Linked DNA regions of Lepisosteus oculatus. The protein of the gene in region 3 interacts with the protein of the main gene of each other region in a pairwise test. Links are inferred from orthologs where the notes say so. Each region holds a gene or a part of one and is shown on either strand. Other genes may lie near its edges. The genes, in order: mfsd5, gpr25, creb3l1 and pgap2.

Region 1 (7,972 bases), on a different chromosome or scaffold from region 3:
CACAGTTCCGGGATCCTGGGTTCCTCCCAGTCTTCAGATTCCTTCGTGTGTGAAGTCTGCCCAGTAGGGAGAGTTTTTTTCACTGGGGTTCGGCGCCCATCTGAACCCCAGGAAGCTGATAGCATTAGCTACAAACAGCAGAGGGCCATTCTGCCCATTGAGAATTTCGCTGCCTAGCAGCTTGTTGGTTCAGATGCCCTCATCCAGCCATTTCACCAGAGAAGCTTGGGCACCATAGCTGTGTGCGACCTGTTCCAGACTCCAACAACCCTTTGCGTAGAGGTGGCTCCTGCACCCTGGCTCTCGAGTGAGACTTGGCACCCCTTTGCACTTCTCCCTGATGATCTAGGTAGGGGTCCAAGTTTAACACAAGATGCACTTATACAGTATGTTCCCCCTGAAAATGACATTTTTCCTAGGCTCATTTTCAACATTGAGGTAAGAATTCTGGTAAAGCTGTTCCATCGTTGCTCATGTGCTGACCTTTTACAGGCGGCATATCCAGACATCCCAGGTCTCCCAGAAATCAGCCTCTCCTCCCTGACTCCCTGATTTTTTTCAAGGGGTACCTCCACCCCCCCGAAATCAGTTTTTCAAAGTTGGGATGTGTGTATATCTGCAGCAGAAACATGATGAAATACGTTGGCTCTGGCTCCTTCTTCAGAGACTGCCAGGAAGATTCATGACTTCGTGCAAAGAACTGACCTGGAGGCGCCCGTCTAGGGAAGGGCAGGTCGCATCTACAGATGATTCATCCCTCGGAAACAGCTGTACGTACCGTCCCAGGGAGAACAGAGGCTGTGAATTTATGAACTGGAGGAGGGTCCTAATTCGTTCTATTAGCGGCGATAAGCCTTCGCTCTCACGTGCTGCACACGCACAGGCGATGCGGGGAGCCACAGCAGCAGCTCTGAAATTCTCGCCCGTGTGAGATTTGACCCTGGCACGGGGACCTCGGCGTCTCCGAATTAAGCCGGTATTAACAGTTCAGTCCCCCCCGCCGCCGGGGCAGCAGCTGCCCGGGTGAGCTCGGCTTGTTCCACAGGGGGGCCCGCTCAGTGGGAACAGCGGTCCAGCTCGGAGACCGAGACGGAGACGGACTGCAAAGGCTAGTGTGGACTCCCTGCGCGACATCCCCGGCTCTGATGAAGACCCCGGCAGCGGCGGCGCTGTCACTCAGCGCCCTCGCAGAGGCGGGTGAGAGCCGGCAAGATAGCGTCGCAAAAAAACAAACAAACAAACAAACAAACAAACAAACAAAAACAAAACGGGATTTTACGGGCGGTGTTTTGCCTTCTGCGCCCGGTGACAAAGGGAACAGGACCCCTTCAGGGTTCCGACTGTCAACGCCTGCACAGTCACCGCCCGCCCCACACTGAAAATAAAAACGCCGTGGACCGGAGTAAAAGTTCCTCTCCCACGCACTCGCACTCAAAAATCAATGGAGAGATTGTGGTGCGACTTGGAAGGAAAAGATTCCCCATCGTGCCAGCAGAAGTGCCTCGCAGGGGGTGGTGTCACGTATAAGACACAAACACCGGCCAATATACTGTCTCCCCCCGCACAGACACGGGACCTCAGTGCGGTGCTGGGACTCTCCAAGCCCGTGAAATACCCGTGGCCCGGTCTCCCTCCTTCTCTGCTCTTCCAGCAGGGGCGCTGGAACAGGGATTCGACATCCCCGTGCAGACGTCTCCTGCTGCTGGAGCCCCAGCACCGAGGGGTGTGTTTGGCCGGCGGCTTTGGTCAGTGTGTTTCCCTGGGGTGATCCAGTGGGATGTGGGGTGAGGAGGGGAGAGAACCGCGGTTCGGTGGGTGAGTTGGATGGGAACAGGTGAGTATATTTCCAGGTGCATGGGATGGAGAAAATAAGGACAGGGAAGCCCCGGACAGGCCCGTGTGCACCAGTGGGCCCAGCTCTGGAGTCCTGGGAGACACAGCGCGGAGAACCGCGAATCACTGGCCCGCTCCGTGTGCTCGGGGAACCTCAAGGGATGCCCGACCGTCTGCACCTCTTATTAAAATGACACCCCCCTAACCACTCCAATTAGGTAGTAATAATAATAATAATAATAATAATAATAATAATAATTGCTTACACTTATATAGCGCTATTCTGGACACTCCACTCAAAGCGCTTTACAGGTAATAGGGATCCCCTCCACCACCACCAGTGTGCAGCCCCATCTGGATGATGCGACGGCAGCCATAGTGCGCCAGAACGCTCACCACACACCAGCTCTCAGTGGGGAGGAGAGCAGAGTGATGTAGCCAGTTCATAGAGGGGGATTATTAGGAGGCCATGATTGGTAGGGGCAATGGGAAATGTGGCCAGGACACTGGGGTTACACCCCTACTCTTTTCGAGAAACGCCCTGGGATTTTTAATGACCACAGAGAGTCAGGACCTCGGTTTTACATCTCATCCGAAGGACGGCGCCTGTTTACAGTATAGTGTCCCCGTCACTATACTGGGGCATTAGGACCCACACAGACCGCAGGGTGAGCGCCCTTTGTTTTTCCCAGGAGGTCTCCCATCCAGGTACTGACAAGGCTCACACCTGCAGAACTGCAGTGGGTCGCCAGTTGTGAGTTGCAGGGTGATATGACTGCTGGCTGACTGCTGGGTTTACATTGCATACTCTGGCCGTCAAAGAGGGTGAGTTTTTTTTTTTCACGTGTGGACTAACCCGAAGGCACGCGTAAAAAACAGCAGATCTGCGGTACAAGCAACCGAATCCCTCATATATAGGCAAAATGGCGGTGGTTAGATCGCCCTCTGCTGGCAATAGGGGGCGTTGCAGTTTTCCGAGGCGCCAGCGCTGTGGAGGTCTGGCTACGTGTCTGGATTCTTCACCACAGAAAAAACTATTTCACCCAAACCCTAGGTGTGTTAATTGGTACCATAATTTGAAGGGATATAAGTATAAAGGGAATTATAACATCTAGAAATTTCGGTAGAGTCTGTCAGATATATCCGAGGTTCAAGCGAGACATTCTGTAGATTTCAAAGGAACAAGTAATAGGTTGATTCCATGCTGAAAAAAGAAGAAAGAAAACACAACGTTTCGGCCGTGGGGCCTTCTTCAGGTGTCACGTGGAGCCGTGGAGCCACACCTGAAGAAGGCTCCACGGCCGAAACGTTGTGTTTTCTGTCTTCTTTTTTTCAGCATGGAATCAACCTATTACTTGTTCCTTTGCAGCCTACGCATGCTGACGCAGCTGCAAACCTGAACTACATTCTGTAGATTTGACCTCTACTGGTAATAGGTTATAGGTCCTGTTTGTAATTAAAGGGGAACACAGTCAGATACAGAGCACATGCCTTTGTAACTTTGGGGTTTTGCAGCGACAGCACAGCTGGGCAGCTGTTGTAGCTCCTTACAACCCTTGTGTGAAGAAGAACAAACGTTTCATTTCTGTAAGAACACATTAGGCACTGAAAATGACATATTTACAACCATTTCACTGTAATTCAGCTGGGTTACTATTTTAGGGCTTTTGGCAGAAGAAGTCATTTTCTCTAACTCACAATTTGCCTTTGAGAAAACATAGCAATATTACTTCCTTGCAAGACTAACATGAGCTTAAATACGCAAAATAGTTCTTCATTGTTTTACTGAATAGACGAACAACTCGTGCGCTTTGCTTCAGTGTCAACTAGCGTTACTTCAGGTTCTGCAGGCAATAGAAAATCTTTTCAGAACGGGAAAGCCTCTATGCACTGTGATGGACTGGTGTCCCGTCCAAGGTGTGCCCTGCCGTGCACCCGTTGCTCGGATAGGCTCCAGCTGCCCCGCGACCCTGACTTGGAAGAAACGTTTAGGAAATGGGTGCCTGGATGAAGACCTGTGTGTGGGCGACATCTAGTGGTGATTAAGCGCACTGCCTCCCTACCCTTGAAGCGCCAAAGGACGGTTTCGCGGGATAAGACCGTTTGGCGACGTTGCGATAAATCTAGAACAACGAAACCGCTGATGTGACGATTATCCCCTTCGCCTCCAATAGCAACTCAAAACTTAACCCCCGTCCTACTACCTGTGAACACTGAGCCTGCCCGTAGCTCAGCCTGAACTCCTTACCCAGCTACTCCTGGGTAACCATAACATCATAACATCCCCGGCGAAACCGTTCTATAACACTGTACCCTAACCCCTCTCAAGGCCGAAGGTTAACATATAATGCATTTAAAACCGAGAGCAGGAGACATTTTCTTTACGGAGAGGGTTGAGGGGGTGTGGAACAAGCTACCCAGTCAGATTCATGAGGCAGATACCCTGGCTTTTTTCAAGAAACGGCTGGAGGAGATCATCTCCTTGTAACTGCTCTTGCATTCTAATGTTCATAATATTAACCCTGGCCTTCATCCTTACCTAAAAAAATAATCCTCACCTTCTATCCCAACTAAGCCTGTACCCCCGAAAATTTATGGAAACGAATAGGAACATAGGGAAGTTAAAAAGAAACGAGAGGGGACCGACTGGCCCGTCTTGACTTGTTTGTCAGGTATTGGATCTTTTCCATCAGTTTCATGTAAGAACGCGGGAGAACGCATGTACCGGTTTTCAACCTCGTATGAGCTTCACTTGTTCCACACACCCACACCCTTTAGTGTAAAGACGCCTCTACTGTGCTCAGTCTTAAAAGCACGTGTGGCCTCTGGTTGGTGCTTCACTGAAGATCCATTGAGCTGACGAAGACAATATTCCCTCAAGATATCAGATTCCAGGTCATCAGTTCAGGCAGAGTAATTGCTACAGTTGACAAACGAACTACGTTTAACGTAAATAAGGCGCTGTAAATCGCTGGGATTCGATGGCACTGGATACGAGCGTATGCTCTGCAAATACATTTTAATATTCAGATCAGATGAAACAGTGCAGGAGTAATAACGGACAGGTTGCCACAGATCGATTATTGTAAGAGGTCCCACAGTCTGCAAGGCACTCGGGTCACATGACGAGTTCTGGCCGCAGTGGCTTCAGGGAGGGGCGGGGCGTAGAGACCTGCGGAAGAGAAGTGACTGATTCGGGAGCGACGCAAGGAGAAAGGCGTTTGACGTTAGTATTTGTCTTTTTAAACATAGAGGAAAATCTTCTTCAGGTATGCTCCTCCATAGAACTCAAAGCTTGAGCCTGATATAAACCAACACAAGGCTTAACATGAGATTCCCATCTCAAAAAACGGACAGGAGGGTGTCCCTTTGACGAGCAGTTTCTATTATTTAGGCTGAAAACAAATGTATAACTATAAAAATCCTCAGTTTCTTATCAGGGTTAGCTTCCCTGCAAATACAAGTCTTACATGCGGACACCGTTTCTGTTAGTATTTACATTATTGTAAAGAGGAATAAGCAACACGTCGGGGCTGTATTGAACATACAAGTAATTTTAACTGCGAAAAATCATATCATACGTTTTTGACACTGAAAAGCGCTCAGCGCTGGTCAGGGAAGGTAAGTTAAACAAACGTGTTTTATGATTTAGTCATGGCAACGTGTTTATCATTGTTCATATACACATTGCATGTTCCGCTGAGACTAATCTAAATCGTTTTATAACTTAGCGGATGTTAAAGGTTTTGATTTTATTCTAACAAACGTATCGCATTTCTGCAGGTGAGGAAGGATAAGGACATATTTGATTGATGTTAGACAATGTAAGTCTCAGAAATAGTTTTAAAACTTTTTTTTTTTGCGGGGTCCTGTGACGTGGTTAGTAGTGGCGCTAATATAAGTAGTCAAAGCAATGGAGTTTCCGCTCCTCTAGTTGTATTTGTATTTGTAAATTCTTTATACATTTAATACAAATGTTTAAAAAAGTCAAAGCAACGGAGTGTTCGCTTGCTCAGGTAGGGTGTACGTGGAGCCGTACCGAGGAAGCGGAAACACCGCGTAGGCGAGCAGGAGAGCCCGCGGCCCGTGCAGCTTTGCAACATCCTGGTCGCTTGGTGTGTTAACTGTCCAGGCGCTGACCCACCTTCCTGACCACCTCTCGGGGGGAAGTCGTCCTGCCCGTCCTGTCGTGGTCCAGGCTGTCGCAGTGACCTCTGGAACAACTGTGACACGAGTCGTGCTTGAAATCTAAAAATCAGAAATAATTAAAAGTTTGTCACAGTGGTGCAGTGGTTGTTAAAAATAATTTAAAAGACTGCTGCTTAAAGGCAGACCGGTGGGAAACTGGTCATTATCTGTCTTGTGCTTCTGGGAAACGTAGCTCGTTTTCTTAAGTGAAAGTGTTGGTGCTGCAGCACAAGGAAAACTGGACTCTGGAACTGCTGTTGCCCAGTAGGGTGACTCCTGAAGAGCTCTGCCCGTAGTAACTGCCCACGGGGCAAGAGCTACCAGCCCTCGCTCTGCCCGGCGCCAGCGGGCTCTCTCAGCCACCTGCCTCCAGCTCACAAGTGATCAAACCAGGGTTAATCGCAACTCAGGTGCAGTTTTCCTTCCAAATCAAAGTTTATTCCCATGTCTGCGTCAACCAGCACCTGCTCCAGTCTGCGACTATACACTTGTTATCCTGGTCCCTCCAGCCCCAGTTTGTGAATCTGCCCCGGAAACAGGACAGTGGCTGTCCTGTGGGTCCGGCCAGCTCTCGCCTGCACAGCTGTGGCCATCCAGTGCTTCTGTCCCCTGCGCTGTGTCCCACAGATGGACCCCCTATTCCTTGTGTGGGGCCTATTTAAGGAGAGTGTCCAGAGCTTCCCTCTGTGGGTACTACTGTGCTGATCTTTCTCTCTCCTCACAGGGCTGCTACCCCAAACTGTCCCAGAGGCTCAGACACACTGCCCAGCGGAGCAGATACCCCAAACTGTCCCAGAGGCTCGGAGACTCTGAGAGCGAGAAAGCAGTTCTCTGGGAGTGAGTGACAGGAGACTCTGCTGCTGAAGGGTCTGAGGGATCGGGGCTGGAGAGGAGAGGGCAGCCTGGGCTGGAGAGGAGAGGGCAGCCTGGGCTGGAGAGGAGAGGGCAGTCTGGGCTGGAGAGGAGAGGGCAGTCTGGCCTGGACCCGCGGTGAGGCACCATGCTGGTCACCGCCTACCTGTCATTCCTGGTGCTGCTGGCCCTCTGCCTGGGCCTGGAGCTCAGCGCCTGCCGCGCCCAGCCCCGCCAGGCCGCCCACGCCGCCAACCCCGTCTTCCGCAGCTTTCAGACGCTCTTCCTGCGCGGCTACCTGCTGGCGCTCTGGGCCGACTGGCTGCAGGGGCCCTACCTCTACAAGCTGTACCGCCACTACAACTTCCTGGAGTCGCAGATCGCCATCCTGTACGTGTTCGGGCTGGCCTCCTGCATCCTGTTCGCGCCGGTGGCCAGCTGGCTCCCCCTGGCGCTGGGCCGCCGCCGCACCTGCCTGCTGTTCTGCGCGGCCTACGCGGCCTGCTGCCTCACCAAGCTGTCGCGCGACTACTTTGTACTGATCCTGGGCCGCGTCCTGGGGGGGCTCTCCACCTCCCTGCTGGCCACGGCTTTTGAGGCCTGGTACGTCCAGCGCCACCTCGAGGCCCACGACTTCCCCCGCGAGTGGATCCCCGCCACCTTCTCCCGGGCCGCCACCTGGAACCACGGCCTGGCGGTGGCGGCGGGCCTGGTGGCCAACCTGCTGGCGGAGTGGCTGGGCTGGGGGCCGGTGGCGCCCTTCCTGGCGGCCGTGCCCGCTCTGGGCCTGTGCGGCTGGGTGGTGCTGCACGAGTGGGGCAGGGAGGAGGCGGAGGGGGGCGAGGGCCGGGGGGCGCTGGCGGGCTCTCTGCAGCCCCCGACCTCCTCCCTCTCTCCTCCTCCACCTCCGCTTCCCCTGCCTGGCCGGGCCCGGTTCTGGCGGGGCTGCCTGGAGGGGCTGCGCTGCCTGCTGGCGGACCGGCGCGTGCTGCTGCTGGGCGGGGTGCAGGCGGCCTTCGAGAGCGTGCTCTACATCTTCGTCTTCCTCTGGACGCCCGTCCTGGACCCCCACGGCCCCCCCCTGGGCATCGTCTTCTCC
Region 2 (6,897 bases), on a different chromosome or scaffold from region 3:
AACATCTGCCGTGGTAAAGTTAAGGGCTTGGTAAGGTACAGAAAAGAATAGTGAGATCATGGTAATAGTTAAAAATGCACAGCCTTAGGTGGTGAGGCACCAGGCCGAATGTGCCAGGCTGTGGCGAAGCGATACAAAGCAAGGTATAGGCATGGGAGAATGTAACGATTGTGCAGATTTAGCATGTCAAGGTTTCAGAAGGTTTCAGAAGGACAGGTGCAATATTTTTCATAGGGCCCCACAAAGAGGCTTTCAAACCTTTCTTGCTCCGCTGTAAAACTGAATGCAACTGATTTCTCAAAATGGAAAAAGTGGGTATAGAAAAACAAATTAATTAGCTTCTCTTCCGTGAGCTTCCCTTAACCTCGCAGCACCCAGGTTAAATGAAATCGTCAGAGCGGTGGCACTGTGGCTAAGGATCTGTGTCTGTGGCTGAAAGGTTGCCGTTCAAATCCTGTGGCCGTTGGGCTCCTGAACAAGGCCCTTAACCCCAACTGCTCTAGGAGTGCTGTACAATGGCAGACCCTGTGCTCTGACCCCAAGCTTCTCTCTGTCTGTGTGTCTCATGGAGAGCAAGTTGGGGTATGCGAAAAGACAATTTCCTAATGCAAGAAATTGTATATGGCCAAAAAAGTTATCTTATCTTTATCTTAATAGCACAAGTGACATGTCACAGATACGTTACAAGTTACGTTTCTGCAGGACCGATTCCAAACCCAAAGCCCTGGCTGTAGATTGTGCATTTTCTGCTCTGCCTTCTTGTTTGCCTATATGGTTGCAGCTTTGAACTTGCTCACTGTCAGAAAATGGGGAGAAATAATCTAATTACAACTAACACTTGGAGAACGAGCTTGCTATCGGCATTGAATCAATAAAATCAATTTTATTTGACTGCTTAAAATATACTGCCAAGACCAGTACGTAATAACTTCTTAATATAACTATGCTACATACTCAAATATCATTTTTGTTCACTCTGTCAAAATCTTTTCTGATGGTTATAAGAGCGTGCCATAACTAAATTCTGTAGTTACCAATAATAAGCAAATATCAGAAGTGTGATTGCTAGCAGGTTGATAGTTATGTTAGATGGTTTTGAAGCCATTCCACTGATTCACAGTGCAGTATCCTGACCTGTTTATGCTCTGTATGCCTGACTATTAACAGAAAGGCTCTTACAGTATTCCTGGTCAGGGACATCCTGTATCAGAGATTTTAAAACACCTGATAGTAAATTCACAGCTCACTTCCAAGTCTCTATTAAGTCACTTTGGACAAAATGGTAATGGACCCATTATTTAAATTATTAATTAAAGGACATTGCTCCTCTCTTTAATTAAAAGTAATATATATATTAATAAATCTAATTTCTGTAAGACTCACAAGACTTTGAGATCAGGTTGTGAAATATTTCATTTTTATGGTTGTTTTCGGGAAATCGTAAATGTGGTTTATTTATGTTAGTTCAACTTCTACACTCACAGCCTCTGTAAAGAATAACTGGTTAAATTGCCCTCCATCATTTATGAAAGCGCTGTCGTTCAATGTCAGTGAACGACATTGAAATTATCTTGTGTTTATGAAGAACAATTTTGCTTTAAAAATAATCACATCATTAAACACGGCATTTTTCAATTTGCCGAGTAAAATAGCACTAAAACGTTAAATATTAGTCCTGTCAACAATAACCACCTTCTGAGGGGGAAAGGGTTATTTAAATCATTATTGTTCTACTGCTTCATTTTTGAGGCAGACTTATGCAATGAACACAATCTCAAAAATCGGAGCAAGACCTTTTCAGCTAGCTGTTTTCTTGCCAGTGGTTTTCGGGATTTAAAATGTTAAAACCACGAAGTCGACCACGAAAGGAGACGAACACTGAAACCATTAAAAAGATCAGCTGAGACTGACTACACTTTGATTCTAACTCTGAAAGACCGTGGTATTAAACACTAACATTAATTTTAATTTCCCGACTACCAGCAACACGAGAGCGTCAATTGTGTTTCCCCTTGTTCAGGCACTTGAAATAAAGTATTTTGATTTTCTACGTGTATTTTTACTCTGGGGACATTCATGACTGGCACTGGAAACTCTAAATACAGATATTTAAAAGTTTAAAAAAGTATTTTAAACATGCTCTCTGCAAAACACTTCATCACCAGATTACAAAGACTTTTGTTAGAAGCGTCCCGAAATATTTTTTAATAATTTAACATTGGTACAACATAAAAACAATTTTTTCTGTCATTTTCTTTCAACACCGCACATGTTCAAAGCATTCTAAAAACCTTTAGATATTTTTAAACTATACACAGTAAAACTACATATTTCAACGATGCATAATTTTTTCTCCACTTTCGACCGCGATGTCCTTAAACGCTTAAAATAATCTCTATTATTTAATTGTGTTGAAAATGCATTTCCATCATAAAATTCAAATTAACAAAAATGAACATCCGACCACAAATTGTGCTCAATAAGCGAAATAAACATATTACCGAAAAATTAAAACAATAGATTTCTGAAAAAGTTCAGGTGGGCGGCTGCGTCAGCATGCGTAGGCTACAAAGGAACAAGTAAAGGTTTATTCCCTGCTGAAAAGAGAAGAAAAAACACAACATTTAGGCTGTGGAGCCCTTTTCGGGTGTCACACCCGAAACGTTGTGATTTCTTTCTTCTCTTTTCAGCGTGGAATAAACCTATTACTGATTTCTGAAAAATACTGTTTAACCATATAAACTAATCCCGAAACGAGAGAAGCCGTTCGAAATTAAAGAAGATTTAATATTATTTAAAAAAACATTCGAAAATCCTTCTTAATTGTGCTAATTATGAGCTATTTAACTCAGTTGAAGTTAACCTTACCTTTGTGAGAAATGTTCTCGCGTGGAAAAAGTCTTCTTGGAATCCACTCATTTTTGATAAGACAACTCAATGCGTGAAACCGCAAAATTATAATTAGTTTGCTTGAGGCGAGTTAAAAAATTAGGCTTTGGATTCCTGTTGCTGCGCTGTGTCTTTTTTAATAATGAAAATATGCTGGTAAAAACTGTCATGTTGAGACGGAGCAACTTGAGTTCCGTTTGTGGGATTAACATTGTTTGAAGTTACTGCAAGAGCCCAGGCGCAAAGTCGAGTCACAAACTACTATAGAAAAACTATACAAACTATAATTTCATCCTCACGGTTAGAGGTGCCTGCACAGGTTTTTTTTTATCTCCAAAACAATTGTATGTCAATGGCTTTCGTCTAATCAATATCCGTTTATTTTTGTTACGAGACGTAAAACTTTTTTTTTTTATTTAGTCATTATATTTTCTATAGCGCCTTGGAAATCAGTCATCTTAAAAAAAATCTGTTTTGTTTAGTTCAGCTTCACAAAGTTCAAGTACGATTTAAAAAAACCGTGTTTGACACACGAGAAAATGTGTCTCGGGACCCTCGTAAACGATTCTTTAGTTAACAGAGTCTCAGTTTATTCTACACATGACAGAGTGACGGTGCTCTGAGCGGCTGTTAATCTTGCAGTTTTTACCCTGCACTGTAAACACCGGCTCTCACGTTCTTCTTTTATTCTGGGCGCTCTCGTTTGGTCCGGTGGCGGTTTGCCCCACTGTCTCTTTCGGGTTTAATTTAACTGGTTTTAATGCTCAAATTCACTTTCTGGTCTATAAATGTTGACTGGAATGTATCAGACATCTTTTTTAGCCCCCTGCCAGTCCCAGACGTCCAGAACTCCCGTCATTTAAGTGCGTTACCCAAAATGCAAGCCCATGGACAGCTGCACAGTATATGAAACACCCCTACAATGGACAGTGAATCACCTTTTATGTAATGCCTATTTAGCCAGATTGCTTACCGTTTTGTACACTGAAGTTGTTCGAAAGTACGTTTGAAGTCGGATATTTAAAACCTAAAAACGCAGAAACAATCCTTGTTGATTATTATTATTATTATTATTATTATTATTATTATTATTATTATTATTATTATTATGTGCTCTTAATTTTCACCACTAAACCACTCTCCCATAACATTTGTTTGTTTTGTTTTCTAGTCCAGTATAATTCCTGGGACATTCATTTCTATTCAGTTAAAACTTTTGCAGTTTTGTCTACCTCGGTGTGACACAAACAACAAAAGTGAAACTGGCTGGCAAAGATAAAAAAACGTCGTGTGTGCGCGCACGTGACCCAACCACTTGGCATATTAAACGCCCTGCAGTGCTATCAGTACCGCACAGTGCGCTCACCAGGGTCCCCACACTGCGCGACATGGCGGCGAATACCATGGACACGACGGACTACGAGTACTCTGAAGATGACTTCAACGGAAGCGAGAACTACACATACCTGTATCCTGACTGGCATGAGTTATTGGATTGTCCCCAGAAATCCTTGCCCTGGCAGTCCGTCATTATACCTACCCTCTACTTTCTCATCTTCTTCACTGGCTTCATTGGGAATCTGTGCGTCATCGTCATCATGGCCTCCAAGCACAAGAACAGGAGGCTGGTGGACACCTTTGTCATTAACCTGGCCGTGGCGGACTTGGTCTTCGTGTGCACTTTACCGTTCTGGGGGATTTCGGCGGCGAAGGAAAACCAATGGGACTTCGGCGATTTCCTCTGCAAGTTTAGCAGCTACGTCATCGCCGTGAACCGCTTCTCCAACATTTTTTTCCTCACCTGCATGAGCGTGGACAGGTACTTGGCCGTCGTGCGGATGCTGGACTCCAGATACCTTCGCAGCAACCAATGCGTACGCTTGACCTGTTGCGTCATCTGGTTGGCGTCCATCGCGCTAGGAGTGCCCTCTCTTATCTACCGGAGGGTGGAGGAAAATGGCGCGGCCCGTTTGTGCACCGAAATCGCCGACTCAGCTGTTTTCAACGGGATCAGCCTTGTCGCCCTCTTCCTTGCCTTCGTGCTCCCAGTGGTGATAATAGTTGCCTGCTACTGTTCCATTCTGGTGAAGCTGCGTAACCCACCCGGCCTTCAAAACCCCAAAACCGAACAGCGCCGCAGACACTCGCTCAAGATTGTGCTGGTCATCATCGTGGCCTTCGTCGTCTCCTGGCTGCCGTTCAACGTCTTCAAAACCATCCTCATCGCCTGCCAGCTCCAGTTCGCGTCGCTGTCCTGCGCCTCTCAAACGACCCTGGCGAGGGGCCTGACCCTGTCCTCTTGCTTTGCCTTCCTAAACAGCTGCGCTAACCCCGCCATTTACATCTTCCTGGACCACCACTTCAGGCATCGCGCTCTGCGCTTCTGTCTCGGCTGGTTCGGCCCACAGATCAAGCGGCGGAGTGGAGCTCCAGCCGCGTCCTCTTCCGGGCTCACCATTGACAGTTACTCGGTGTCCAGTTACCCTCGCTGCCGCATGTCTTCAGTTCACTTGCAGTGAAGGACCTACTCTCGGAGACGGCGTTGCAGTAAGAGGTGGCAGCGGTTCGCGAGGTTTGCAGAGTTCGGATTTGGGGTGTCCTGGTATTTGGGGTTCAGTTTCCCAGCTTTTTTCTCCCCAGTGTCAGAACATTGACAAGATAAAAACCGATCTTGTCAGGCAATTAAAAAACAAATTCTGCACGCTTAAAACTGCGTCTGTGGATTGTGAGGAACTTTTTAGTATTTTTATATCATTCGGCATCATGTTGAGAGATTACTCGTGATTACTTCGTAGGTCATAAACCTGATTAATTGGGAATGTTTACATTTGTCTAAAACGCCACCTCGTTTTAATATGTTGTATGAAAACAGGAAAGCCCTGGGTATGACAATGAAAAAACGAAAGGTTCTGATTTTCAGCGCTCGCCACTCTGCACCACACCAGTTATCGTAACAGCAGAGAACTTGTTAAAGTCGCTTTCCAGTGAGCTGTACAACTTTCTCCGAATTCACTTTTGTTTCAATGCCATTTTGCATAAAAAATGCAATTTTGTATCAATATCATTACTTATTTGTTTTGCACAATCAATTATGGGAACATATACGCACAGTGCAAGAGGGAAATAGGCTAATAGACGAACGTTTCAGCGATATCATCTTACTGTCGCAGCCTACATGAAATTATTTTCTGCCATGAAAGGAGACCTCAGTTCGGGCTGCTCTTCACATGCAGATGCAATAAGAAGTGTTAACCGCTGTCAGTTTCGCTTCAGAGGCTGAGAACTTCAAAAGCCCTCAGCTTTTTTGACTGAAGAAGTGAGATCATGCTCGTGTTTTGAAAATGCTTTCGCTATAGAATGTATTAGTTCACTGGGTACGTTTTTACTGTTCTTTCCGTTTTAACACAAATAATAAGTAGTGGCTTATACAGTATGTATAAAATGTGTATACGAAATAAAGATCAGTAGACGCTTTTCTAAATATGAAATGGACTGAAAATATTGGAGAAACCTTTTTAATTGTGGAAAAAACGGAAAAATATTTAAAAACAAATTACAATTTTAAACGTGCTGCATGAGTGGTTTTACTGTAGGTGCGAGATTGAGAAGAATTGTGCTGGAGTCTCGGACTTTTTTTTACAGTTAGTGCGGATGACTTAAAGGAGCTAAAAATGACGTACATTTTATTGCAACATATTGAAACATTTTTATATTCACCTTCTAGGTTATAACTACGCATTAAGATTGAAATATTTTAGTAACTTCTGTTCAGTTCAACTGGTACTTCGTTATATTATCGTTATGTTTATTCGTGGCATTAGTTGATCTTCGCAATAAAACTGATCGCTCTTTGTATTATATTGTTTAACACATTTACAAAATGTGAAATTTGAAATCTCGTTACAAAAAAAGATCTAAAACTTTTGTAAACATTGGACATTTACTTCTAGACTGTCATTGTAATATAAGCTCTTTCAAAAAATGTTTTACGCAATTTTTTTACATTTT
Region 3 (7,478 bases):
CTTGGAATAAAACCCTCGGAAATATGTGTTGAGAAAAGCCACTTTTTGACCACTTCCTTTGAGGGTCAGATCAGATCATTGCCACATTTGTTAAAACAGATTCTAAAGAGTCTTAGATGTTGTAAGACAAACTAGCACTCGACTGGTTTCATGTACTCTGTTTAATAACAAACTGGGAATCCCACATAGAGCAGTGCAGCCTTGAAAGAGAACAAGATTGATGTATCTCCCTTGTCCATGATGAGCTTTTAAACCTGAGCCGATGCAAGAGTTGAGGTTTTGCAAAAGCAGTCAGTTTTACCTTCAGTGCGCCTCATTTACCCATGCACCTCATACCTCTCAGACAGCAGAAACAGGGGGTACACAAGTAACAACAGAAAAAGATGAAGAGGTGAACTAACCTCCCGAGTGTCACGTAAGGAATAAGGCATATTTTATTACAGTTGAAGCTTGCAGTTTCTTTTCCTTTCCATTAGGGATTATTTTATCCTAGCCGGCCACAATGTTACATGTCAATACTAAACGGAACTGAAAAAAGAGGTCATTGAAAAACATGGAAGAAAATGGAAATAAAATGAAATGAGTATCTAAACACAGGAAACACAGGATGATTTAATCTCCCCACAAAAAAAGGCCTGAAAAGCATTGTATTTACTCTTTGTTTTTGCGTTGACAGTGGCAGCTGGATTTCACCTTTGCAACTTGATGCTTTTCCTATTAATGCACAAAAGAGTCCTTTCACTGGGTCAGTCCTCACCACTTGGCTTTCCTTAATAGGGGCTTGAGTGGAGAGGCAGTGACTGCAGGAGCAAAGACCTATTGGACACACAGGCCTCATTCAGCCCCCACACAGCACTGAGGCAGCAGTCAGAAACAGACCCTGCCCAATTAACCTAAACATACAGGTCCTCCCTCAGTAGTCTGTCAGTGCACACAGGATAAAAAGGCCATTGAAGCCCAGCTAACAAGAGCCCTTTATTGTTGAAGTGTGAAAAGATGTCTGCATCCACAGTCTATTGTAACTACTGTATGTGGGAGCCCTGACAGGCCTTCAGTGCCGATTTCAAGTTTCAAGAGTTAGGGAGATGTGACTTAATCCCCACCTCATTCACACTACGAGAATATGCAGGGATGTCTGGCTGTACTGCACAACCTGAAGATGAGTGTGCATCATGCAGAGAACTGTGATAATCAACACTATTCCACATACTGTATACTGTACCCTTCCTAATCAATCTAGATGTCCAAGAAAAGCCAACTCATTCTTCCATGAAGATGACGTTACAGATACAGTTTATACAGCTTTTCCCCTTCAGTTTTTTTTACAGAACCCATGAGTCATACTGCATAAGATAAGAAACATTGTTACTGGATGGGCGCCAATTTATTCATTAAGATTAAAATGAAACATCTTGTCCGGGCCAAGTCCGGCGGTTTTGATTCGCCACAGTTCCTACAAAGCCGATATTAAAAAAAAAAAAGATCAGAAATGAAGGGTACATACGCCTGGTCGACCACTTTAAACACGCAGACAACGAGTTACCTCTGCGTGCTGTCAGAGCTACACATTTTCATTTTTCCGCAAACGTCTGGTGAAGTATGTTAACGCATGTGAACACGCCACATGAAAAACACTGGACAAACGTCATCTCCATCGCAGCACAGCGGTGCTTGCGGTCTTTACTTAAGGTGCTAGAGAGGGATTCCACGCTGGTGTCTAATCAAGCAACACACACACACAAAAAAAAGATTCAGTTTTGTCTTGCATCCGACAACGAATTTAAACCGTGGCAGCCTCGCAAGCCCATCTGTTCACTTTCCGATCTCCTGCACGTTCAAGACGCTCACAAACGCAACACTCAGCCAGATAGCACTGCGCAACCTACGGCAAAACGCGTTTTTCGAATTCGCCCTGCAGCTTCAGTCGAAGAGGTCGATAAACAACCACCACCAGGATGTGCGAGCTAACCAGGATAGGGATGTCTAGGGAGGAGAAGAGCCGGGGTGGGCGTGAGAAAGAGCCCGGGCCACGCCTCCTCGCGGGGGCAGAGCTCCGAGAACAGACTCGGCGTTTAGAGCACAGCTGGGGCAGCTCCGCTGGCCCGAAAACAGCTGCTTCGCGGCGGAAACCGTGTTTACTTTCTTCGCGGAAAACCAGTCCTCAAGTGGCCGCCGCCGAGTGTTAACAAATGAAACAGTTTGCTGTCCACGCTGACAAGTAAACGCTAAAAGATCTCGCTTGCGCGAATTGGGTTGCCCGTGGGTTCCGGTGCGTCGAGTTACGATGCAACCCTGAACAATCATTACAAAAAGTTCCACACAACATTTAAGGGTTTTGTTTTTGGGAAAAATACATTTGCCATTTTCTGATGTGGGATATTTTAGAGCGTTGCAGAAGCGTTTGGTATATGCTCCCACAGGGTTAGGAAGACACATTTATTAACAGTGGCCACAGGGTTAGAAAGGAGACGCGTTATAACAGTGATGCGGTAGTGTATGCATCTTCTGAAACTAGGTTTGAATATTTTGCATTAACAGTGGTTCAGAGGCTATTAGAAAACATAAGTGTGCCTTGTCAAGGATCTAAAATAACGAAAATGAGTAATGTAAGTCAATCGTTTACGTACCACGTTACTGAGGAAGTCGGCTTCATTCAGATCTTCTAAATCCAAGAGATTGGAGTTAGGGAAAAGTTTCTCGGAGGTGAAGTTGTCTAGGATGGTGTCCATTTTAACAACGGAGGTTTCGATATTAGTTGAGGGAGAAAGAGATCAGAATAAATGGATGCAAACTTTTCAAAATCTAAGTTGTTGGCTAAAGATACGGAGATGTAAGAAGTTGCGTTGTCTCCCTAACTCGAGCTGAGTTGTAGAACTGAAGTGAAATAATGCCGTTTGCAAATGAACTGTTTGCAGTTCTCAATTGAATTCGCTCTTTTTCTTCTAAAAAAATGCTGGGTTAAAACCCTGTATGCTAGAGAACGAGTTCTATATGGGTTCTGTCAAATGTGTTTCATCCAGCTGGGGACTGTCTCTAAGGAGTCCATCAGATGATTAATATTCATTTAAACTCCGCCTAGTTTCTCCTGCCTTTTTTCTTTCGTCTTTCCAAAATCCCACCCGTTGTCTCTTAAAGCCACAGTGGTACATTAGCCCTTTTCAAATGAGCTCTTTATAAAATAGCCCAGCCCCGGCTCCTAAAATTGCATTTTTTTTTACGGGATGGAACCTTTTAACCTTTAACAAGCTTTAACCACTTTTGTTGTGCGGCACCAAATACCGACCGACAGCGCTGCTCCGTTCTGAACGGGGGTGCAGGACCGTGTCGAGACCGGCCAGGGTGCGCTGTGTATCAGCTGGGCTCGGGGAAGAGGAGGGCTCTCCAGCGCACGGATCAAAACCGTGTGTGTTTCGCTCGATTCAGGATCTCCTTTGGAGCCAACAGATCCCATCCGTCGACAAGAAGCTAGGGATGCGAAGCGTCTTCTTCGAGAGAAAATAAATGCAGCCACATATTGTACCTGAAAAGGTTTCGAATCGACTCCTTTACGTTTGCATGTTCGTTTATAAAACGTTTATACAGTATATATGTGTGTGTGTGTCCACATGGAGAACTGCATTTTCTGCTGCGCTGCAGATACCGTGAACGACACCTTATCCCCATGATAGCATTTGACTGTAGCAGGGACGGCCGACCGAATTCTTCTAGTGCCTAGTGTCTTCTGGTTTGGGGGGGATCAATTTAATTGAGCAGTCAATTAAATAAACAGTTATCCTAATTATTTTTTAATTAGACACAAAGGGTTTTTAATATGGTCTTTTACAGCTGATTAATGAGACAATGAAACACACTTCAGTAAAAGTAAAGCTGGACATAAAACATTTCCAATCCTTGCCAGAGGTATTAACAGTTATACTGTGAAGGAAATAATTCCACCAGCTTTGTAACTGAGATCTCAAATGGAACATACATTCAGGAGACACTCTGCTTTGATTTGAAATACTTTTGATTTAAAACAAAGGGTCTGAAGACCATCCAGGCCTCAAGGGCTGGTTTTCCCTTAATTGAATTCCCTTCATTATTCACTTAATTGACCAATAAACTACAAGTGTTCCTAACCTTCAAGAAATGGTTGGTTTGGGGTGACTCTCTGGCATTCATCCACTGGCCGCTTCTGTGAATTCAGGGTGGTGGGGGGCCAGAGCCAATTGGAGCTCCTTGGTAGACAGATCACACGTTAATGGTACCAGGCATACCAGAAGTGTCCGAGTCCTCATCCCGGCCCTGGAGGATCGCCGTGTGTCCGGGCTTTCTAGGGCTCTTTCAGGAGCAGCTCCTGAAGACTCTGAGAGAAGATGTTAACCTGGGCCGATTAAGCCAATAATGAGCTGATTTCGGTCATTAATGAGATGGGCTGCAGTGAACACCCCACCCAGCCCTCCAGGAAGGGAGCTGAACACTTGTGGTGACATCATCCATCTGTATCCTTTCTCTTTTAATCCTACAAGTGCAATGTGCTTTATTCCTTCCCTGTTGATGCAGGAGGCACTTTGATTTATTATAATAATAATAATTGCTTACACTTATATAGTGCTTTTCTGGAGACTCCACTTAAAGCGCTTCACAGGTAATGGGGACTCCCCTCCACCACCACCAATGTGCAGCCCCACCTGGATGATGCGACGGCAGCCATAGTGCGCCAGAGCGCTCCCCACACACCAGCTATCAGTGGGGAGGAGAGCAGAGCGATGAAGCCAGTTCATAGATTTCTGGATCTTGGTGTTCAAATGGCATTAATAGGCTAAAATATGTAACGGTGGTCACTGTTAGAGGTGTAAACGAGAACTCGCTTCTCATTTGTTTGTTTTTTTGCGTATTTTGCATCATCTTATTTTGTTGCGCTCTGCAACAAGCTGATCCACATTTAGACTGCGGTGTTATCTATCTCCTAAAAATAGAAATATGGGAAAAGAGCTACACCGAGACAGCTGCTCAAACCCGTATCTTCCGTGTTCTCCATTAATCATGTTTTAGAAGTGCTTATTCGCCCAGTTCAATTCGAAAGCTTTTCATGTGTAGAAGAACTGCGACGTCACTCGGAGAAGAGAAGCAGCTGTGCATGCCTGGACGAGATCGGGGTTTAATGATCAGAATGCGCGCTGCAGCTCAGTTTCTCTGATGTGCTCTGTGAAACTTGATTAGAGGCGCGCTAACAAATAACTGAAGTAAGACGTCTGAGACTTCTGCTGCTTGGCGCATCTGCCACCCGCGAACGCTAAATTAACATACATGCGGCGAGCCGTGTGGGCGCAGAAAACAAAACTGCGCAAACGAATAATTAGACTCAGCCTTTCACACAAACGTCGCAGGAGGTTGTCCTCCCTCCGCAACAACAAATATTTATTTACTTTCTCCGAAGGTTGCTTAAACAACAGCAGGGTTGCAGGGGGAATGTTTTTATATGCTACAAAGGGGTTGAAATAAACGTTTTATTGCACAGCCGAAATGAAAATCAGCCAGAAGAACATTCATTTTAGAAAATATTTTTTTAAATGTTTATTTTGTGAACGAAATAAGTTACGTATTCGTCGTGTCCTGTCCATTTTTGCTTTGGAAATTTTAGTCTAGTCTCCTTGAGATGGTTTATTTACTTCTTGAACTTTATATAGGGGATCTACTTGATATTTTCTTGGTATAGCGGGATTCATTTAGCTTTAGAACTTTATTTTTTAATCAAAGGCCTGAGTAAAGCCCTTGTTTCAGGAGTGCCTTTGGGAAGGTAACACTGCTTGCGAATCCCTGTTAAACATTACACAGCTTCATTACTGACTCCCTTGATGACTCTTGTCATTTTGCACATTTGGACTTTTCTAACACAAAGCGTGATACAAAAGGCCGGTCTTTAAAATGAGAAACAAAAGTGAAAGCCAAGTAAAATCTCCTTGGAATCACTATGACATCTTCCCAAAGTTTAAACCGTAAATATTTCAAGCTCTTGAGACAGTAAGCGCCGCCTTCTACATCTCCTGAAAAAAGCCTTTAAAACTAATACCGCACAGGAGAGGTTGTATAAAATGTCCAGTTAACAAGTTCGAACTCGCGAAACCCTGTGTCACTTTCTCTCTGAGGCATTTACGGAGATCAGGAATGTCGCCCTCTGGAACTTTCCAGTGGATACCTTCACGTGTCTGAAAATGTCTTCTTACGATTAACAATAGGTGTGCAAGGTTTATTTTTTCTAGTGAGTGGTCCTTAATGGCACCTCTTGGGGCCCTCTATCGGCGGGCTGCATTTCAGGTCGCCATTCCATAAAGGAAATTTGTGACTGGGAGTGTTTAAGGGCCGAGGTCTCTTCTTCTTCTTACTTCTGTTACTTCACAGATAAAGGAGCATTGTGCCGAGCCTAACTTTCAACTAGCCCCCATTTCTTCTCAATTAATACATGATCGTCTTCTTTCATTTCTGCATCTTCTCCGTGCAATATTGTGTTGAGACTTCGATGCCATTCTCTGGAAGTTCCTATCTTTAAAAATGAAGGGAGGCCATAGATGCTGCGTGTAGCGGTGCGACCACAAAGCATACAGTATATATTGTAATTCATTCATTTGTCACACAGTTATTATTGGGATCATCGCTATTTGATCCTATGTGATCTGTTGATCTACTTTGCAAGCAATTTATGTTTAGAAAATGAAATACATTTGCAAGTTTTGTTCAGTACAGCCTTGTAATCACCCCCCCCTTCCCCCCAAAAAGAACGTTTTTTAAGTTTTTGGCTGACAGCATTGAGAGTCCTTTTCAAACAAAGTGGAACTATGGTAAAAAAGTACGCGTACTTTATAACATAGGGTGATTGTTCCTAATTCCTAAAATACTCTTCAAAACTAAAGTATCTGGAAAGTCTGTCATATGCTATGAAGTCACTATTTGTGAATGCAGACAGAAACAAGCAATGCCGTGATTAGCCCCACAAGGCTCAAATTCCTCGGTAGGGGACCAATGGGGAAAATACTGGAAACGTGACCAGACATGACATCACATGGTCATTTAGACTTTTTAAGGAGTTTTTTTTGCTCCACTTTCTGTCCGTTCAACCAATGTTTATCATCAAAAGAAGTACAAAAAATGTTAGCGTTAATGTTTTAACAGCACACATTTAATTGTGTGTTACTTTCAGCGGCTATCTCCCCAGTTACTGTAATTAGAATATACTGTATACTGATTCCCTTTTTCAACTGGCTATTAAATACTTTGAGACTAAATAAACCAGAATAAATAACACAGATTACACTAAAAGTAAAGACCTCACCTCCACACAAGACTGTTGCTTGACTGTAATTTTACTGTGTGATGGCCCACAGTCAACTGTTCTAATAAGATCTATGCAGAATATTAGGTTGTGCTCCAATGTTGCTCAGGCACTGAAAGCTCTGCTTGAGGTACCAGTTGAGGGTTCAAACCAGGGTTATGAAATTTGT
Region 4 (7,999 bases), on a different chromosome or scaffold from region 3:
ATCTTTCACACAAGAAAATGGAAACTCACTGCCAAAAGCAGCTGGCTTGGTCGCGCCGAATGCATTGTTTTGCTGGGAGAACAGTCCTCCTCCTCCTGTGTTGGTGCTTCCAAATAGACTGCTGGAGGTACCACTGGCAGCACCAAACCCAAACCCAGTGCTAGTGGAGGACGTCACAGGCTGGCTAAACGTACTTGAGCCAAAGAGTCCACCTTTAATTTACATTTTTGTTTTATGAAGGGGAAACAAGTGAGAAAGAAATACAGAAAATGTTTAGAAAAGTGAAAGCCAACACCAAGCCTCAATGGCTGACTTCTACCGGGAAAAAAAAACTTAGTATTGCAGGGATTTACTCCATTAATATCACTACAGCAATCCCTACGTTAAACAAACTTTGCTTTACAAGACCTCAGATTTAACAGACAAAATCTACTGAAGGGGAATTTTGCCTGAAAAATCAGAAATACCAACAGGCATCATTTCACATTCACTTTCCTCTGGTAATCCACTTCCCCCTTTGAAGTGCACACACTCTCTGGAAACCTTTCCAGGGAACTTAATGATAAAGTCACGGACAGTGTGCATGTTTTGTCCTTATGGGTTACGTATAAATCATTTTACGTGTGGACAATCAGAAAAAGCATGTGTCCCCAAGAGTGGAAGAGGGACAGATTTTAATGGCACATGAGCATTTCAGAGCAGAATACAGATTTCCAAGGGATACACCACCAAACTTTCCATACAATAATGGGGAAAAGCACAAATAAGAAAACAAGGCAAATTAAATACTTAGGTTTTAAAATTGGGCAATATCAATGGTGCCCTATATGTGTAGGTCATATACTTGTGATAGGTTTTTGGTTGTGTTTCATATGGTATACAGAATACGCTAAAACATATTTACTAAAATAGGCTCAGATTCCCCTGCGACACTTGGATAAAGCAGCTAGAAAATGGATGACAGAATATTTACTACACATGAAATAAAGAGCTTGTGGATTTAAGAAAAACAGGCATGAACAATTGTCAAAGACTGTGTTGAGTATATCTTAAAAAAATCATCAAGAGAACATAATTCTCATATAATAGTGTTTTGAGCTGACAGACTGAACGCCAATGGACTTCTCCCCTGATAGTGCCTTTACACATAACATGGCTACATGATCACACTACCCAACGCACTATATACATCCAATTGATTTCTCCTATCTGTACATTTTTTCAAAACTTTAAACGATGCTTACCTCCTCTACCAGCACCAGTGTAGATTTGTTGGGGATTTGCTGTTGCCACTTTTGAGAAAGTAAAGTACAGTGTAGTTAAAAACATTCACGGGGATCTACACCACACATTGAAAACGTAGCTTGGGAAAGGACCACCTTGTATTATCTCCGCAAGATTTGTGAATCTTTCTTTCAGTCTTATTTGTCTAAAACTTGGATATGAATGTGATTATTTTAATTGAGGCTTCTTTTCTTCTGAAAATAAGTAGTGTGATCATGCAGATTTGAGTTCCAGTATATTACTAGGAATGCTAACCCCTACAAACAGTTTTAAGTTTAGCTTTACATAACTAAATCACTTTCTCCATCCAGCATGCTGTACCGGTACATTGAATGCAATGTCTGCCAAGTTGTTCCCATCACTGACAGCAGGACCAAAGTCGGGTCTACAAGTCCTTACTTACCTTCCAGTATTACAGACAGAAATTCAGGTTATTTGATAGATGCCATTTTAGTGTACCTAACCATACATAATTGCGTAACTGAAAAAAATAACTTCTCCCATATTCTTTTGCAATTATATGAAACCCTCCAAATAACGTAACCAATCACATCTTCATGTAGTATTATGTTTAACTATAAAAATATAGTATGAAGTCATAAAGAGGTATCACTTGATCGTGACACTATATCCAATAGTCTTACTGAAAATAATAAGTATCCCAATATTATGGTATAAGAGTGTAGAAAAAATGTATTCTGTGCCAACTGATGCAAGTTATATTGGTCAATGAGTTATATTAACTACCAAAACAAGTATAGCACTTTAACACTATCATTGCAAATCCTGTTACATATTTTCACAGTTTGGAAATCTCTTTGTTTATAACGTACTTTAAGCAATAAGGATTCTGCATTTGATGTTGATAAGAATGAATTTTGTTGACTTGTAAAACTTTCACATCTCAAAGCAAACATATCCATGGACAACGTGTAAAACCAGGACTGGTTGCAAAATAAACCTAAGACAAAATGACAATGGGAAATTTAAGGTGCAAACCTGGTTTATTCTGGGTGTTCCCAAATAGTCCTCCAGTGTTATTAGTGGACCCAAAAGCTGAAGTCCCAAACCCACCTGTAGATCCAAACCCAGAATCTGCAAAAGAAGTTGAAATTGCGACCATTTTGTTTTTCAGACACTTCGAATGACAACAGCTGTCTTTCGGCAGTGCATAGATTAACCACCATCTGCCTTCGCTCCAACCTGGCAGCAGTGGGGGACCGATAGTAGAAGCTACATCTGCCAGGGTGGCCAGGGCTCATTCTGGGGACCTTGGGACTTCATGAAGACTTCTTTGGGATGAGGACTTACAAAGAGTAGTGGCAATACAATAAACATTATAAAGTCACACCCTCATTGGCAGAGAGCTGGCAAGCTTGTTTTCACTGCATTTGTCTTTTGCACAAACTGTAGTGGGATACTCCAATAAAGTGTACTTAACTGTGTTCTAGGTGCCTCTATCTGGCTTGACCTTGTCTAATTGCATTAGATACATTCTTCTTTTAGAATATGTGTATTTGGTGTCATTAACATTAAACTATTGTGGAATTCTAGTTTTTATATCACATGCGGGACAGGATTCTTCTAACAAAAACTCCATATCATGACATGTTTGACCATTTTCCTTTATCTTTGAGGATTGACTGCTTTCCAATAGGTGTAAATCAAAGTATAGTACACAAACACCAGCATTGTTCCATGCCTGATATCAGCTACAAAGACACAAATACACGGTAAGGCAAGCTGTAAAATAGTGATTCTGAAAACAATGTCAACACAAGTTGACAAGGAGATAAGAGATACATTCCACAAACCAAACCTACCTGTATCCATTTACAGGCTCCACCTTAAGCTAAAATGGACATTAAGCACTTTTATTTTCACTGTCCTTGCTTCTTATATGCACCACCACCCTCCATGACTTGTCAATGCGCAGCATCTTAACAGTAGTATGTAATCTGTTCTATGTTTCCAGTATGAAATGGAAGTACAATAATGAATTTATAACTGCAATAACAGCGCAAAAGTAGCAACTTACTCTGTCCAAACGTGGAGGAAGTTCCAAAGCCACCAGTTCCTCCTCCAAAAGGAGTTCCAAACGCTTTGTTGAACATATTCGGTTCCTATCAGGACTGCATACGTCTGTGAAGAACAATTCAAAATACTGTTAGAAACCTTCGGCACATTTTGTTAACGTATGAGTCACATAAAAAAAAACTGACAAATGCATGGAATATTCATCTCAACTGTCGAGGCATTCTTACTGTTTATATTCCACGACTTTACATAAACCCATACCGAGGTAGCCTTATTTCGCTCATGAACCCGTCAAGACAACTACAAAGTCTCACATTTATAGCGTCGAAATGGCAACTGCTAATAAATATGTTTTCGTTTCATTCCCTTAGTACAACTTACCAGTGCTCGTTTGGAAGTCAGCACCGGCACAGAACAAAATGTATCGAGGTAGCAAAAAAAAAAACCCAGAACTTCCACAACGTATTTTTCCCCCAAAGAGTAAAATAGTGAAAACGTCAATGGCTAAACACCCTTTTTGAGACTTCAGGAAGCACAAACACGTTCAAACGGGAGCCAAGACTGAAACACTGCAGGAGAACGATTGAAAAAAAAAAACGTTGACTTGGATCGGAGCTGTTGAAGTGTATGTAGCGGCATTCGAGTTCATTACACAGCGGGTGAATCGGCAAACACTACATTTTGCGAACCGTTCTTAGCCACCGTGCAAAATTAACACTGTCAACAAATCACTCCGGGAGTTTGAAGTCGTTTCTATGGTGGGTTATTCTGCGCGTTAAAGCTGGATTTGTTTACAGGAAGACGCTGAAGAGGCGCCAGAACCGATGGTCGAGGCCTAAAGCACAAGGTTTCAGCGGCAACCACATACAAGCCTCAATTCAGGGCACGAATTGGGGTTTCGAAGATCCTAGGTTACTTCCTTAAAGCATACCAAAACAAACATTTTAGGTGCGTTTCGACCGATCGTGCTGGAAGGAACCAGAACAAACCGGTTTTTTAAAAAAAAATGAAATCGCTATCTAAACAAACGAGAACGCTGGAAGGAGATACCAAGCAATGTTACAGTATTTGGTGTTTCTTTTGATTTATTAAAATGTGCCCCGATCACTTGCTACCTGAAACTGAAGCAAAGAATGTGAATTATTATAAAATGCACACTTGCGACATAAAAGTGCTAAGCCAACACAAACTTGGTCGCATATGCTTGCAGGCAGACAAGCTTCGCAGACACGCATTTAAGTACGTTGGCAATTACAATATTCCCCTGGAATATATTTTCTCATTGTACTTCAGGATTAACAACTGAAGCTGCCACGTTTATGCAAATTAAAAAGGCCAACCACAGAGAAACGTGCAAATTAACCAAATATTACAAAGTAGCGATATTTCTTACCGTATTATTCAGAAGCCCACTCAATATCTTCCTCAGGTGTTCTTCCAGCAAAAGCGGTCCGAATACAAGATGATATTTATGTAGCTCACTATCCACAGTGTCCAATATCGATATATATTTTTTTCAATATCGCCCAAGGAAGAGAGAAACTGCGTAATTTACCTTTGAAAGGCCAAGCAGTACGCAAACTACGTCAGTACGTAATATGTCGACCTCTTTCTGACGTCTACTGCAGATGGATCTGAAATATTATTGGACAACACTGTCGCCCATCAGCTTGTAAATCTATTGCACTTTCGCGACTGGGTAGAGTTTGAATTGGTGTCCCGCCTCCATTCGGAGGCCTTAGGAGCGAAGTCCCAGTTTATTGGCTGTTGGCAGCGACCGGCCGCTTATGTTAAATCTGTTCGGGTCTGGACGGCCGTACGTGATCATGTGTTGCTGTGCAGCTCGAGTGGAATTCGTCGCTTCCTCTAGTCACGACCGTTTTTGAATAGTGAGTCATTCGCAGTCGTGATTCACTTGGTGGATGAATGCGCTGTATTTCATTCGGGTGGGTAAAAGTAGAGGCAAGTTGTCTTATTGTAGTCTTCGATCGATGCTACCGTTTTATAGGATCAATTGCGGGGTTGTAACTTTGTTCCAGATTTATATAACGGTCTTCAGTTTTTTTTGATCCCATATCCTATGAAAAACATACTGTAGCTCCCTGGTCATGTGTTCCCCATGTCCTAACACTATTGTGCCTCGCTGAGGTCCTGGGGGGCTACAGTCCTGCAGTTTTCACGGGTCTGTCTTGGCAGCACCAGTCTCCCCTTATCTACAGCTGTATGATAAATGTATTTTTTAATGTGTACTTGCATTATGGTGGTTGGATTTACCATATTTGGAAATTATTCCAAAAAGTAAAGCAAGTTCCAAAAGTAGAGTGACAATCAGACCCAAATTTAATTTTCTCACCAACTTTAAATAAATGTGGGCTTTCTGGAGGTATGTTACGAGTCGCAAGTTATAATAATCCCCACTTACACTAGTTACACAATAGTTCCACTTTCAGTATCTTTCATTTTCTGGACACTTCACTCAAAGTGCTTTACAGGTAATGGGGACTCCCTCCTCCACCACTACCAATGTGTAGCCCCCACCTAGATGATGCAACAGCAGCCAAAGTGCACCAGTATGCTCACCACACATCAGCTATCAGGGGGGAAGAGAACTGAGTAATGAGGTCAATTCATAAATGGGGATTCTTATGAGACCGTGTCTGGTTAAAGGCCAGAGGCAAATTTAACTAGATCAATGGGGTTATACCCCTTAATCTTTTTGAAAAATGCCCTGGGTTTTTTTAGCACTATGGAGTGTCATTATGATTAAGGTTTTACATCTCATCTGAAGGATGGAACCTATTTACAGTATAGTGTCCCCGTCACCATACTGGGGCATTAAGACCCACCCTGACCGCAGGGTGAGTGTTCCCTACTGTTCCCAGTAACACCTCTTCTAGCCAGGTAATGGCCAGGCTCACACCTGCTTAGCGTTAGTGGGTTACCAGTTGTGATTCGCAGAGTGATATAGCTGCCAGCTATAAGTAATGGAGTTTCCCCTTTGTATTGACCCAGGAATGTGGAAGAACAAACTTCCCAAACCTTGTCCCTGGGGCACCACTGTGTCTGCTGGCTTCCCTACCAGCTAAGCTCCACATCTTCAGTACTAATTGATGACTTTAACTGCTCTGCTTGCAAGCACAGGCTTTCAGGCTATTTCAATACTCAGTCAGGAGATATAGAAGGATAGGGTTTCCAACGGCTCCAGCATACAGAACATGGAGTAGCCTCTCTACAATGTGTTAATATGTGATTGATTTTTAATAAAACACACAGATGAAAATGACACTGTAGCAGACACTCACATTGAGCTTTTATTTTTCCTTCAGCAGAGGATTAATTGAGTACATTTCATACAACACAGCTTTGGCACAGAGGTACCGTGTTAATGCCAATTACAAATCCCATTTGACCTTTTAAAAGCTGAAAGCAAATTTTAAAATATGCTCAATTTAGCCTGTGATTAAGAACTTGGATTGGGCAAAACCAAGAAGTGACATTGGTCTCTCAGGACCTAGGATGGGAACCACTTTCTGTAGAACATGTCTCTATCCTGGGTCTTACAGATCACCTGTTTCTAAAGATGTATTAACCAATAGTACAGTAAAGCCAAAATAATCTGTTCATATTAAAAAAAAACTCTTGTCTGTGAGGGCTGGATGAAACACCTTGATCAATATTAACTCTAATTTCTTTAATAAAATAATGCTATATTCTTTCTTTAAAATGTGAAAGGGTATAAACCTTCCTTCTCTTACCGTTTTAGTTAGTTTTTAATCTTGCAATATATATCTTTAACATAAATAGGAATTTCTGAGCACACAGATGATCTGTATTTTGTGGATCAAAAACTACATTCTTAGAAACTGAATTTTATAAAAGGTCGTGTCTCCTGGGATGTTACATGTTCTAGAAACGAGTCAAGCAATGTAAGTAATATGTCCAATTGTAAGTGTTGTTAATGTTTTAAATGAAATATGTAACAAAATGCAGTAAACGAAAGAAAAAGTTTGCTTTTTGAATGCAGGCCAGAAAATGGCTTGGTCGAAAATTCAAGGAAAAGGAGATTATAAATTGCAATATGCGTAGAAGTTAGTTCTACGTTTGCAACATCTCGCTTTTTGACGGGAAAGAAGTACAGTACAAGCACTCGTACTGTACGTCGTTAAGAAACGTTGGAGTATTTCGTTCCGCTTTTGGGAGCCTGTCTCTTTAAAGAGCCTGACACCTGTGTGAGTGCTTTGCTTCTTCCGGGGACATAGTCACAGTCACACAGACACGCTGAGGTTTCGTTTCATGCATTCTGCAACATCACGAACTCAATTGATTTTATTACGCTCGGGTTTTATAAATCTACCAGCTTTGCCAGGAACAGATCAGCTGTTAGAGAAGAGTACTCACCCACATATTTTTTCTTCCTAAATTGTTTTTTTTCTCTCTCTGAGTGTTCATTCAATGATTCTTTTGCAATTTCAAATAGAAACAGAACTGCACTTGCCACTGTTCTAGTGCGTGTCCATGATGATGCTTCATTCAGCGATCGCTTAGTCTGTCGCGTCCGTGGCGGCCGTGTTCTGCTCCAGACTTTTTCGGCTCCCAAGCCTGTCTGCCGGATAAGGTACAGAACTCCAGTCCCTGGCTGGAACGTCTGAATAGGCCATAACATGGAGTTAGCAATTAC

What was found.
Region 1: the proteins of creb3l1 (region 3) and mfsd5 interact in binary tests that used the Homo sapiens proteins (3 or more experiments, as listed by UniProt). The two-hybrid records come from large-scale screens. The link is inferred for Lepisosteus oculatus from reciprocal best matches to the Homo sapiens genes CREB3L1 and SLC61A1.
Region 2: the proteins of creb3l1 (region 3) and gpr25 interact in binary tests that used the Homo sapiens proteins (3 or more experiments, as listed by UniProt). The two-hybrid records come from large-scale screens. The link is inferred for Lepisosteus oculatus from reciprocal best matches to the Homo sapiens genes CREB3L1 and GPR25.
Region 4: the proteins of creb3l1 (region 3) and pgap2 interact in binary tests that used the Homo sapiens proteins (3 or more experiments, as listed by UniProt). The two-hybrid records come from large-scale screens. The link is inferred for Lepisosteus oculatus from reciprocal best matches to the Homo sapiens genes CREB3L1 and PGAP2.

What each region holds. Positions count from the first base shown.
Region 1 is NC_090696.1:18,952,159-18,960,130, reverse strand, and holds the start of mfsd5 (molybdate-anion transporter), read left to right. Parts: upstream 1-4,971; 5' UTR 4,972-5,059; exon of another isoform or gene 5,060-5,102; intron 5,103-5,109; exon of another isoform or gene 5,110-5,454; intron 5,455-6,745; 5' UTR 6,746-7,021; coding exon 7,022-7,972. UniProt on the Homo sapiens protein: Mediates high-affinity intracellular uptake of the rare oligo-element molybdenum.
Region 2 is NC_090700.1:30,700,586-30,707,482, reverse strand, and holds gpr25 (probable G-protein coupled receptor 25), read left to right. Parts: upstream 1-4,250; 5' UTR 4,251-4,277; coding exon 4,278-5,408; 3' UTR 5,409-6,377; downstream 6,378-6,897. UniProt on the Homo sapiens protein: Orphan receptor.
Region 3 is NC_090716.1:4,505,991-4,513,468, reverse strand, and holds the start of creb3l1 (cyclic AMP-responsive element-binding protein 3-like protein 1), read right to left. Parts: upstream 3,020-7,478; 5' UTR 2,730-3,019; coding exon 2,628-2,729; intron 1-2,627.
Region 4 is NC_090700.1:12,973,222-12,981,220, reverse strand, and holds the start of pgap2 (post-GPI attachment to proteins factor 2), read left to right. Parts: upstream 1-4,988; 5' UTR 4,989-5,247; coding exon 5,248-5,267; intron 5,268-7,798; coding exon 7,799-7,936; intron 7,937-7,999. Other genes in the region: nup98 (nuclear pore complex protein Nup98-Nup96), read right to left, coding at 30-212, 1,245-1,292, 2,284-2,379, 3,323-3,398.